Linked DNA regions of Callithrix jacchus. The protein of the gene in region 1 interacts with the protein of each later gene in a pairwise test. Links are inferred from orthologs where the notes say so. Each region holds a gene or a part of one and is shown in the gene's direction. Other genes may lie near its edges. The genes, in order: YAE1, CEP126 and LTO1.

The links.
Region 2: the proteins of YAE1 (region 1) and CEP126 interact in a two-hybrid assay, tested with the Homo sapiens proteins (2 studies listed by BioGRID and IntAct). The link is inferred for Callithrix jacchus from reciprocal best matches to the Homo sapiens genes YAE1 and CEP126.
Region 3: the proteins of YAE1 (region 1) and LTO1 interact in binary tests that used the Homo sapiens proteins (3 or more experiments, as listed by UniProt). The link is inferred for Callithrix jacchus from reciprocal best matches to the Homo sapiens genes YAE1 and LTO1.

The regions. Positions count from the first base shown.
Region 1 is NC_133512.1:8,032,490-8,036,924, forward strand, and holds the start of YAE1 (protein YAE1 homolog), read left to right. Parts: upstream 1-1,596; 5' UTR 1,597-1,611; coding exon 1,612-1,746; exon of another isoform or gene 1,747-4,435. UniProt on the Homo sapiens protein: The complex LTO1:YAE1 functions as a target specific adapter that probably recruits apo-ABCE1 to the cytosolic iron-sulfur protein assembly (CIA) complex machinery. May be required for biogenesis of the large ribosomal subunit and initiation of translation.
Region 2 is NC_133511.1:37,717,952-37,721,600, reverse strand, and holds part of CEP126 (centrosomal protein of 126 kDa), read left to right. Parts: intron 1-1,524; coding exon 1,525-1,723; intron 1,724-2,733; coding exon 2,734-3,649. UniProt on the Homo sapiens protein: Participates in cytokinesis. Necessary for microtubules and mitotic spindle organization. Involved in primary cilium formation.
Region 3 is NC_133511.1:126,594,324-126,598,730, reverse strand, and holds the start of LTO1 (protein LTO1 homolog), read left to right. Parts: upstream 1-1,476; 5' UTR 1,477-1,590; coding exon 1,591-1,792; intron 1,793-3,115; coding exon 3,116-3,221; intron 3,222-4,407. UniProt on the Homo sapiens protein: The complex LTO1:YAE1 functions as a target specific adapter that probably recruits apo-ABCE1 to the cytosolic iron-sulfur protein assembly (CIA) complex machinery. May be required for biogenesis of the large ribosomal subunit and initiation of translation.

The DNA.
Region 1 (4,435 bases):
TGCATCAGTGGTTATCTCATTTCTCATTCTCGTGTAACGTTGTTCTCTTTAAAAATCAGGGCCACGACAGGATTATCTATCTCATTGGTATTTTCAAATAATACAAAAAAGAATTGGACTTATTTATGTAAGTTTTGAGGTCTTCTATTTTATTCATTGTCATCTTTATTACTTACTACCATTTTGTTCCTAATTAAGATATATACATATCTTAATATATTTACATTAATAAAATATACATATTTATAGTTTATATCCTTTTTATTTGTGGAATGACAAATTCTCTCTGGAGATTTAATATTGTAACGTGAACCAAAAACCCACTCCCATACACTCATGGTTCTTACTTTACTTATTTTTAAATTTTTTTCATAGCACTTATTTTTTTTTTTTTTTTTTTGAGACAGAGTTTTCGCTCTTGTTACCCAGGCTGGAGTGCAATGGCGCTATCTCGGCTCACCGCAACCTCCGCCTCCTGGGTTCAGGCAATTCTCCTGCCTCAGCCTCCCGAGTAGCTGAGATTACAGGCACGCGCCACCATGCCCAGCTAATTTTTTGTATTTTTAGTAGAGACGGGGTTTCATCATATTGACCAGGATGGTCTCGATCTGTTGACCTCGTGATCCACCCGCCTCGGCCTCCCAAAGTGCTGGGGTTACAGGCTTGAGCCATAGCATTTATTTATGATCTAACAAACCTTATGTTACTTACATATTGCTTATTGTTTAACCTGTCAATTTTACATAACTATAAAGTCAAAAATGGTTAGGAACTTCTGTCTGTTCACTGATGTATCCGAAAGCCTAGAATGGTGCTTGACACAAGGTAGGTGTTCAAGAAATTGTTAGATAACTAAATCATTATCACATGACTCATTTCACTTAGGCAATGGGCAAAACAGGAATACTACAGGAGTTTATTCATTTACCAAGATCGAGATCAGCATCTACTATGTGTCAGAACCGTGCTGGTGTTGACACAAGTCCCCACCCTTACCAAATCAACAGTCTACCTTGGGGCGTATGAATAGAAATGGGAGGCAGAAGGATACTGTGCATCAGTGAAAAAAACGCCTTGGCTTTACAAACGTACTCTCTCTTTCTTACTGATCTCAAATTGGCTGCAGTATCTGACTTTTCGATTCTATTATCCTTTGCTCCACAAGCCTAACAGTTAAAAATGTCGGTTTGTCAAACCCTTTAAATGCAGAGGAGATTCCAACAGAGATAACGACTTTGGGCGATAACCGCCCATCGACTTTACTGCTTTTAACAATTTACCAATGTGCGCGTGTGTAAAATCCAGACCATGGTAGAGACTACGGTGGAAATGGAAGGTGTTTCACTGAGGGTCCTGGCTGCCTTCTGCAAAGGTGAAGGTCGTGCCGGCCACGCGAGGAAGTCCGCCTCGCTCACAACCGACAGGTGCACATCAATGACTTCGCTCAAAATCACCGCAAGCGAAGGTTGGGGCTGCGTCCACCCGCCACAGCCCGCCCCCGCGCACGCGCAGCCCCCTCCCGAGCTCCGATTTGCTGTCTTCGCCCCGCCTTCGGACCGGAAGGAGTTGTCGGCGCTTCCGGTGACCTGTAACACCGTAATTGCCTCGGTGATGTCGTGGGTTCAAGCGGCATCCTCGGTCCGTGGCCCTGGAGACGAAGGGGACGTGTTTGACGAGGAAGCAGATGAATCGCTCCTGGTGCAGCGGGAATGGCAGAGTCACATGCAGAGACGAGTCAAAGTAAACGTGGGTGGACGGCGCGGGGTGCTGGGTTGTGGAAAGAGGCGCGGAGTTGTCAAGAAGCTGGGTCCAGAAGGGCACCAGCGTGGCCCGGCGCTCCGCTCTTTATCCGTAGGAACGCGGTCCAACCCGCGTCTTGCTAGGATTTCTCAATGGTTACTTGAAAGTGTACGAAACAACAGGACGCGTTCTTTGAGCGCCTACGGGGTGCTTAGAAGCTGAGGACCGACTAAATTTTACTGTATCTGGACTTTAAACAGTGCAATTTGTTGAGGATCACAGGGAAAGGAGTTGGGGGGAAACATACACTGACTCTACTAATTATGGCTGTCAAAGGATGTGTAGGCAGTTTATATTAATTGCTTGAATGGATCGGGAGCCTGAAGTTAAGGAGTGGTATTAATCGAGACATACTGAAAAGATGAACTTAAGAGTGCTGTCAGAGGGCAATAAGGGAAAGCTAATGTGGAATACTGGTGTCTAGATAAGGGAATATTAAAGTTGATTTCTTCTTTATTTGTTAGATGTAACTTTTTCATCTCTAGTTTGTCTCACTATTCATTGAAACTAAGCTTAATTTCTGTGAGCAGACTTCAGAACCGAGTTCTGAATGAGGACCAAATGGTGAGGTCCACATCCACTTAATATATTTGCCAACCATTAAATTGCCGCTAACGCTGCAGTTGGGTATCTGCGCTGGTTTAATATTTCAGTAAAGTATTATTTGCTTAGCTCAAAAACCAAGTGGTCAGTTACAAAAATGCTTTATGTGAGGTTGGGGCTACCCTAGTAAGTATTGAGCATCTTCTGAGCGCTGTGGCCACCATAAGGGATGCAGAATGAAATCACTACCCACAGAGCTTTTGCAGGTTAGTTGAATTTAGGGATTAAGCAAAATTACTGAAACCAGACTTATCTTCCTTTTTTTTTAAACGATTTTCTCTCTCTGCTTTCCCATGTCTCCTCACCCACCCACACCATTCCAATCAGTTGGCAAGAGCCCAGATATGTATTTTTCCATATATTCATTTTGTGAAGACATTGCTAACACTGAGTTTTTGGTTTTTTTTTTTTTTTTTTTTAGTCTTTTGAAGCCGTTAGAAGAGTTTATTTTGTGCTTAGGATATTTTTCTAAGGCATTACAAGTTACACATCCAAACTCTTCAGTGGTATATTTTATATTCTAAAGGAGAGGGCTTTAGAGAAAACTTGTACATTTTACTACTGTAAGTCTAATGGATTCATATAGCAACAGAGCCTAAAAAGAAGGGGACATTGTCCACTACATAACGGTCAGTTGATTCATTGTATTTATGATTTTTCTCCTTCTTGTAAAGTCAAAACTATATGTATTCTAGCTTTTTAATGAGTAAAAGTACACTAAGTGTTCCCTCCTGTTGATTTCTACCTATGAAATACCACACAATATTAGCAGTCAGGAAAGAACAGGAGAACATGAAGTTTGTCTCTTAAAAATTATGAAAATGTTAATGATTTTAAAACATCAAGCATTACAAACTGTAAAATCAATTAAGAACTTTCTGTATATGAGGACAAAGATATATTTAAAATATATACAAGAAGATGCTTTTTCCTGAGTAGAATGCAAACTTTGTTTTATATTAAGCTTCTGAGAATTTTCAAAATGTAAAATACCAAGGATTTTCCACATGAGACAAAAGTCAGGAATGTTCACCTTCACATCCAAAAAGAAAAATTTTTTTAATTATTTCAAACTTATATTTCAAACTTATATACCTGGTGTTTTTATGTTCTGAATGTAGACTCTGATTTAATGACAATCTAGACTGAACCCTGCAATATACAAGCAAGTCACAGCAAGAAGTTCAGCAAGAATGATATAAAATCTTAAATGAATGGCCAAGATTTTAAATTATCAACAGAAAGTTCAATTGATGGATCTAAAAAGAAATGCTGTTTACTAAAACATTAAAAAAAAATTCAGGAAATTATCATCCAATTTGAAAAATAAAAAAAATGTAACCCATAGTAAATAAAAAATACAAGAGAAAGTCAGCCTTTATTGGAATCAAGACAATACCATGGACTTAAAAACTTCCTAAGTCACTAGCATATCCTGTATTAGCATGTGTCGTAAACTGTAATAAATTAATATAAGGTAGTTTTTATTAGTTGCAACCTAAAAATACGAGGAAATTTTGGAATATATTTCTGAAAAGAACACAGAATTGTCACTGACATACATATTTCTTAAGACAATGATCAGAGTTCCCATTATGGGAAATATCTTCCTTTTTTCACACAGTGAAGCTAAGAAAAATTATATCAAATAAGAAATATTTTTCTCTAAAATAATCTTTAACACCCCAATAATGCAATACTTGGGAAATGTAAATTTTCAAATCTGACTTGAAACAGGTTATTATTAAATAAATATACATACATCTTACTGCTTGGCACAATAGTTCAAAAATTAGAGAACTATTTAAACCATCATCAACAGTGCTTAAATCATATTTCAAACTTATATAACTAGCGCTTTTATGTTCTGAATGTAGTCTCTGATTTAATGACAATCTAGACTGAACCCTGCAATATACAAGCAAGTCACAGTTCACTTCAAACTAAAAGAAATGACCAATCTTCTGTTTTTATCAAAATCATAATACTAAGATACCTATAAAATTTAACTAGGATTTATCTGTGGCCAATG
Region 2 (3,649 bases), on another chromosome or scaffold:
ACTTCCTCTTCTACTTCTCCATCCTTACCTCCTTCATCTATCTCTCTTTTTTCCACTCCTTTGCATTCATCTTCCTCCCCATGTTTGCCTCCAACTTATTTAGCTTTTCCCTCTCCAGTTTCTCCTGCTACTTCTTCCTTTATGATTTCCTCTTCCTTTCCCCCTATTCTTCATTCTCCCTCTGTTTCTACCTCCCCATCTCCTTTTATTCCTATCCACCCCTTCAATCCTCCTCACTGGGGGAAGAAAGTAGAGAAGAGAAGAGAAGAAAGTGGAGTAGAGAAGAAAGGAATAGAGAAGAAAAAGTTGAGAGACAACAACTTTAAAGGTAAATAATTTGAGTTTACTAGATATTTTGTAGATATAGCAATATTTTGTTTGGGAAGGGTGACTGAGGGGGAAGGATTATGTAAGAGTAGAAAAGTATAAAAGGAAGAGACAGAAACATATCCTCAATGTTCAGGAACTTGTATCACATACCTTCTTGCTCTCCCTCATTAATGTGTGATCACATCGAGATAGTTAAGAATCTAGTAATCATTGAGCTTGACTACTCCAGTCTGTCCAAATAAAGATATATATGGATATTGGAGATAGTTAATAGGTATATGTCACATGTGGCCATTGTCAACTTCCAAAACATTTTTATCCTCATTGAAGTGGGAATAATTTAATTGAATTAGGAATAAATGCTCTTGGGATTCACACTGCCAGACCCAGTGCATCAGCATTCAGCTATATAATAGTCTCATCCCCATCCTATTCTCCCCCAAAAATTTTCTTTAGTTCTTTGCTTTCACTTTGTATATATACTGAAGTGTAACATGCTATAGGTTTGCAGAAGATACAAAATTCTAATGGAAGATGAGGTCATGCACTGAAAATATTTAGGTGGCCCTTTAGCACAGTAAAGGTAGACTCTATATGAAAGGTACACTTCTATGGCATAAAAACCATCCTGAAACAACTTAAAATAAGTGAGTACATGGCCTCCATTGAGGAAGATCCAGGTTCCCAAAGCTAGATAAATAGGGTGAAAATTCCTGTGGACCCTGATAGGCAGTTTTTATATTTTCTATCTGCTTGAATCTTCAGCCAACATTATTAGGGTTATAGATTTTTTCCTAACTTACCATCCATCACATCATCTCAGAAAGAATGGTAATGCAGCGTATTATTATCCATATAGGAATGCTCTTAAAGAACTGAGGACTAACTCTATGCAGAAATTACTTCTACTCTTATCCCAGATGAGAGAGGGATAGGTTATAATAATCAAAACCATGAATTACTAGGCATTTCTATATGAAGGTGTTCTTTATTGGCACTTTAGTCTCACAACTATTTTTATTCTACTATTGATTGCCTTAAATTCTCATTCTAACTTGTCTTTATTTCTCCAATATCCTTATATGTGATTATCTGGACAAACACACATATTACACAAATGTGTCATGTATATACATATAAAAAGAAGTTAACTTTATTTAAATGTACTAAGCACTTTTTATGTCTGTTTGACAGAGCGATAGATTCTGCCTTGCCTTCATCATTATCAGAAAATGATCACAAGCATCAGAAACAACTCCTATCAAAAACCAATTGTGATAAACAAATGAATGAAAACATGAAGGCAACTTTGGCTACTAACAAAAATGTGTTCCAGCTTAAACTGGAGGAAACTCAGAAACTCCTAGAAGATCAGCATCTAAGCAGTTTGCAAGTATGAAACTATAAAGACCTTATTAATATTTTAATTCCTAGTACTAATTCTGCTCCACTTTTGTAGTGTTCTCCACTAAAGAAATATGTTACTGAGAATAGGCCATGAAAGAGAGTGTGGATGTATCAGCACAAATTCATCATAGAAACTATAGAAATAATTTTTTAGTTTTTTCCTTACCTTTGAAAATACAATGTAATGTATTATTGTTAGAGGCTGTATTATAAAAAGCAACCAGAAAATTATAATACATGTAGATATTAGTTTCTTAATGGAAATATGGCAGAATTCACTAGAAATGATACTTGTAGTCTGTCTCTAGTAGGGCATATACTTTGTTAACAGTTTTTTCCACAAATGAATATAGATTTCAACTGATATTCCTACATGTCCATCCATGAACTTTATTACCTGGGGAATTTAAATAATAACAATATATGGACCCCATCCAAGTATTAAATCGGCATGACCCAGGTATAGATATTTTACATAGTTCTTTATGTAATTTCAACATGTAGCCAGAGTTAAAAACCTTACTACAGTTCACGAAATTAAGTTTTATAAAAAGATGTAACTTCTACTAACAGGAAGCTCACTTTAGGATCACAGAGCTTTTAGGCTCTGTGAATGTTTCAGGAAAAAATACAATTTATAATTAATTTTTTTCAGAATTTCACTTGCTATTACTAAGCTTTCAAGAAACTTCATACTCTAAATGGAATGGCAATAACAAAATTATTTTATAAGTTATAACTGTGGCTAGAATAAGTGGGTATTACTTTAGGAGTTGAAGTCAAAGCAAGCATACTTTACTATAAGTCTTTGTTACCGCCCTGTTTTTTACCTTGAGGATTGATGCAGGGATAAGAATTACTTATATACCTACAATGTTTATAGTCATATTACTCTATATGCAAGGAGAATTGGGCTCAGTAACAATGGTATGTTGAATCATTGATATTGGCATTTGAAAGTTTATAAACTATAAAACAATGTTGTTGTTTTTTCAGAAATTTTGTGATGAAGTTAATCAGATAACCAATTCTGAAACCCTCTCAAGTATAGACAGTCTTGAGGCTACAGAACATGAAGAAATATATTTAACACTTAATAAGGAACATTCCACATCCATCCAGCGGAATATCATTTCCCTCAAATCAGCAGATCCTCAATCAACTAATCTAAGCTGCTTTGATGAAGATAAACTGGCATTCTCTAAAGCTCAACATATAAATAATTGGCTTACAAATTTAGATGCTTCAAATACTCAGAATGTCACACCTTTCTCAGATAATTTAAGTAAATCTAATGTTCTGCCTTCATGGGAATGTTTTAATAGTAAAGAAAAAAATCCATCTCCTTTGACTGCAACAGTGGAAAAAGCCACAAATACTGCTAATAATTCAGTAGGCTTTGTATCTACCCCACCCATATTTGTACTAGATAAAAAAAGTGAAAAGGCCTCTGAAACTAGCACTATAAGGACAACTGACACCACGTCTGGAGCATTCAAAAGAGAGAGGCCATTAGTTACTGAGAGCCCAACCTTTAAATTTAGCAAATACCGGAGCACTTTGGATTCTCTAACCCAGGAAGTGACTACATTTCCAGATCAAGAAAAATATTCTGAATTAAATCAAGAAAATGGAACTACTTCAATTCCTACTTCGTGTGTATCACTGGCAATGCCTTTAGTTTTGCCATCTAATACACAGTCAGCTAGACCTCTAGCAAAGAACAGTATACACATAAAAGAAATTGATGCAGTGCAGTGTTCTGATAAGTTAGATGAATTGAAAGATGGTAAAGAAGAAAACATAAAATATTTTAATTGTCATAAGGGAGAGTTGCCTTTATTTTCAGACAGTTTTCAAGATGCCTATATACCTCACAATCCCAATTCAAAAGATGAAAAACAAAAATTAG
Region 3 (4,407 bases), on another chromosome or scaffold:
TAGAAGTGAAATGACTAGGTCAAGAGATAAAAGAAGATTTATTTTATTTTATTTTGTTTTGTTTTATTTTATTTTATTTTATTCTTTGAGGCAGAGTCATGTTCTGTCACCCAGGCTGGAGTACAGTGCCATGATCTCAGCTCACTGCAACCTCCATCTCCCGGGTGCAAGCGATTCTGTTGCCTCAGCCTCCAGAATAGCTGGGACTATAGGTGCATGCCACCACACCTGGCTAATTTTTGTGTTTAGTAGAGACAAAGTTTCACTGTATTGGCCAGGCTGATCTGGAACTCCTGACCTCAGGTGATCTGCCCACCTCGGCCTCCCACAGTGCTGGGCATGAGCCGCCACCATACCCAGCCAGCAAAAAAAAACATCTAAAATGCCCTTCCTATGTTTTTGAACTGCCTGGCCAAGAGGTACCTTAAATTTATGCACCTCTGCGCAATAAATCTTTTAATTCTGAAAAAGGAGAAAAAGAACTTAAACTATTTTAAAAGGGAAACAATGCATCTCATTGTTCTTTCTTAGCATTGCTTTGGTTACTAGGAAGGCTGTGTCTGCTTTTCCCTCCTGGCCAGATGATGTTCTCTGTGAATAACGTTTCAAGTCTGTTTTTGCCCCCTTTATGATGCATTTATTTCTTATCCATTTAAATAAACCTTTACCAGAAATATTATTCCTTTAGTTACAATGTTTATGACAAAGATTTCCCCATATTGTTTAACTTTAAATTTTGCTTATTATCACTGTTGGTACACGCAAGTTTGCATTTTCACATGGCAAAACGTTGGTTTTGCTGATGGAGAATTCCTTCATGGCTTGTACGTGTTAAAAGAGCATCTTCATACTCATCTGAATGTTCCACCTAGATTTTTTTTTTTTTTTTTTTTGAGATGGAATCTCGCTCTGTCACCCAGGCTGGAATGCAGTGGTGTGGTTTCAACTCACTGCAACCTCGGCTTCCCGGGTTGAAGCAACTCTCCTGCCCCAGCCTCCGTTGTAGCTGGGATTACAGGCGCCCTCCACCACGCCCAGCTAATTTTTGTATTTTTAATAGAGACGGGGGGGGGGGGGGGGGCGGGGTTCACCATGTTGGACAGGCTGGCCTCGAACTCCTGTACTTGTGATCCGCCCTCCTCGGCCTCCCAAAGTGCTGGGATTAGAGAAGTGAGCCACCCAGGTGATGACTTCTCATTTCTTTCTTGGTTTTTTTTCGGAGCCACTTTGAGAAATTCGGTTCCATCTGTGGTGGTAAAATACAGGTCGGTTCCCCCCGCGCGCGGCCAATGGACGCTCCCAGTGCGGACAGACAGGCCCTTGGCGGGAGCGGGGCGGGGCGAAGGGGCCCCAGGGCGGGGCTTCGCCCGAGCCCGGCTCCTCCCACCTCCGCAGCCGCTTGTGTGCCCCGAGCCGGCTGCTTCTGGACCCTCCCGCGTGCCGTTCTTACCCGGCGTGCCCCGCGCCGCTGCTTCCGGAAGTGGACGTCGTCTCCTCCCAAGTAGAGCGTTTGTGCCTGAACTTGGCGGGTTTGCTAAGGCACCGAAGGGCTGCAGAAGCCCGGCGGTCAGGGGCGGGCTGGTTGCCGCAATGGCTGGGAGTCAGGACATATTCGACGCCATCGTGATGGCGGATGAGAGGTGGGTGGCGAGTTCGGGCCCACACTCCGCTCTTTCTGGTCTCCCCCAGTGGATTCGCCGCCGGCTGTGGTCCAGGGCGGCTGCTGGAGCCTGGCGTCCCGCGGGCGTGCGCATTGGGGGAGCGTCTGGTGGCCGTGGACGCTGGGACAAGTGTGGGTCGAGATGCTCTGGTCCTCCTCCTCCTCTCCTCGCCAGCTCCGGCGGGACACGTGCCCAGCTGCTCTTCCAGACCCGCCTCCCCTGTCCGGGCTTCCCTGAGCATCTGCTCGGTCTGTGGTTACCCTCCTCCGGGGCCGCCCCGTCCTCTGGAAGGACAGACCTTTGCCATCTGGGAACTGCCTCTTTTTCTTGTTCCTCGGTCTTAGGACATACGGCAGTATTCATGGATGTGCTGATAGATGTGCCCGACCCCACCCCTTTCCCTCCAGAGCCCTTGGGGAGCCCCTCGTGCTGCGACAGTGGGGGAGCTGTGAGGTGCCTCCTGGCTGACTTCCAGTGCCCGGCCCACAGAACACGCCCATAAATGTTAGTTCAGAAAGCCACGGAACGTTTAGCAGTCAGTCGCTGACGTTTATTTAGCTCGCGCTGTGGGTCAGACACAGCTAAACGTTCCACCCTGCTTATCCGTTTCAGCCCTACTCGGTAAATGGATCCTATTATTCGTCAGAATTTACAGAGGAGGAGGCACCGTCGCTTTCTAATAAGTGGGGAGCTGTGCACTCTGCTTCATGGGGTGCTGCAGCCCACTCCTTGCATCTTTGGTGACTGCAGGTTAAGATAGCGTTAGTCCCACTGTTGGTCCTCAGGGTCGGACGTAGTACATTTGTGGTGACTGGATGGCATGTCTCGCTGTTGTCCAGTGATGTGTTGTAAAACCCTGTGAATGTTGCAGGGTTTTGGAAGTGGTTGGCCTGGGCTCGTGATACTTGTCCACTCACAAAACGTTGGCTACCTCACTCTGGCTGCAAATCAGACTCAGGAGACTGAAAAGTAGATTCGTGGCCAGGTGCGGTGGCTCACACCTGTAATCCCAAGACTTTTGAGACGCCAGAGCTGGAGGATTGCTTGAGCCCAGGAGTTTGAGGCTATAGTGAGCTGTGATCGTACCCCTGCACTCCTGGCAGGGCAGCAGAGACCCTGTCTCCAGCCTTACTGAATCTCTGGGGGTGAGGCTTTCGAGTTAATTTGAATTTTCCTTGTGTGTTTCTAGTATTCTATCAGGTTTGGGATTCACTAATTAAGCCCTTTGTTGTAGATGAAGAAACAGCTACAGGAGGTACAGTGACTTGTGAGAGGAGACTCAGGAAGGGGTAGAGCTGGCACTGGAATATGTGTCTTCTGACTTGAATTTTATGCTTTTCCTATTTTACTCTGACTTTGTCTTACTGGGTCTGGGTAATATATAGAAAAACAGTTTGTCTGGAATAAGTATTCTTTCTCCTGTTGATTTGATGAAGCATGCTTCTCCTTCACAGGTTTCACGGGGAAGGGTATCGGGAAGGCTATGAAGAAGGCAGTAGTTTGGGTGTGGTGGAGGGAAGGCAGCATGGCACGCTGCATGGAGCCAAAATCGGGTCTGAGGTAAGTGGGAACCCCCTTTTGGAGATGAAGCCTCTTCATTTACAGTTTATAATTTATTTCAATATTCAGTGTGATGGAGTAAGAATGTCGGGCCTTTTAAAATCACAGTACCTGACTCATGCCTGTAATCTCGGCACTTTGGGAGGCTGAGGTGGGTGGATCACCTTGAGGTCAGGAGTTCGAGACCAGCCTGGCCAACATGGTGAAACTCCGTCTCTACTAAAAATACAAAATTAGCTGGGTGTGGTGGCTCATGCCTGTAATCCCAGTTACTTGGGAGGCTGAAGTATGATAATTGCTTGAACCTCGGAGATGGAGGTTGCAGTGAGCGGAGATTGTACCATTGCACTGCAGCCTGGGCGACAAGAGTGAAACTCCATCTCAAAAAAAAAAAAATCCCAGTGCATTTGTGTGGAAGGTAATTGACTACATGTTCTGTTGGGGTAGTATTCTTAGTACAGAACCAAGAATGCATTTTGCTGTGTAGACTTAATTATATTATGCAGGCTGGTTAAGAGAAAGCAAATCCCTGGTCTCCTTAGTTTACTTGGGAGTGTCATGGTGCTGGCTCATACACTCAGCCAGCTGAATCACTGTCCAAAGAATGGGTGCCCTCTGTCATGTGAAAATCTTCCATATATGTTTGCTTTGAAATTTCATTGACTTCATGATATTTTTTTCTTTTCTTGTCTTTGTCCTAGATTGGACCTTATTTACAGATAAGTGGTCCTTAGTGGCAAAGTCTGAGTTGAGGCAGTTATGAGTATATTGGATGTTTGATGCTTCGAAACAGATCACCACAAAATATGTGGGCTTAACACAGCAAATATTGATTACCTCACATTGTTTCTGAGGGCTGGGAACTCAGGAGCAGCTTTGCTGGGTGGTGCTGTCTCAGGGTGTCAGCCAGAGCCACATCACCTGAAGGCTGGACTTGGGTTGGAGAATCTGCCTCCAAGGTAGTGCTGTCACCTGACTGTGGGCACAGACGTCTCCATAGGGATGCTTGTGTGTCTTCGTGATGTTCGAGAGAAGAGAGAGCTGGTGAGGCAGGTAACATTGGCTTTTATCCCTGGACTCAGGCATCCGGGAGGCCGGCTGCCCCACTGATGACCTCGTGTCCTAATTTCCATTGCCCAGTGCTCAACAGGTACTTCCAGACCCATCATGTCAGAAGCGCCGCTGC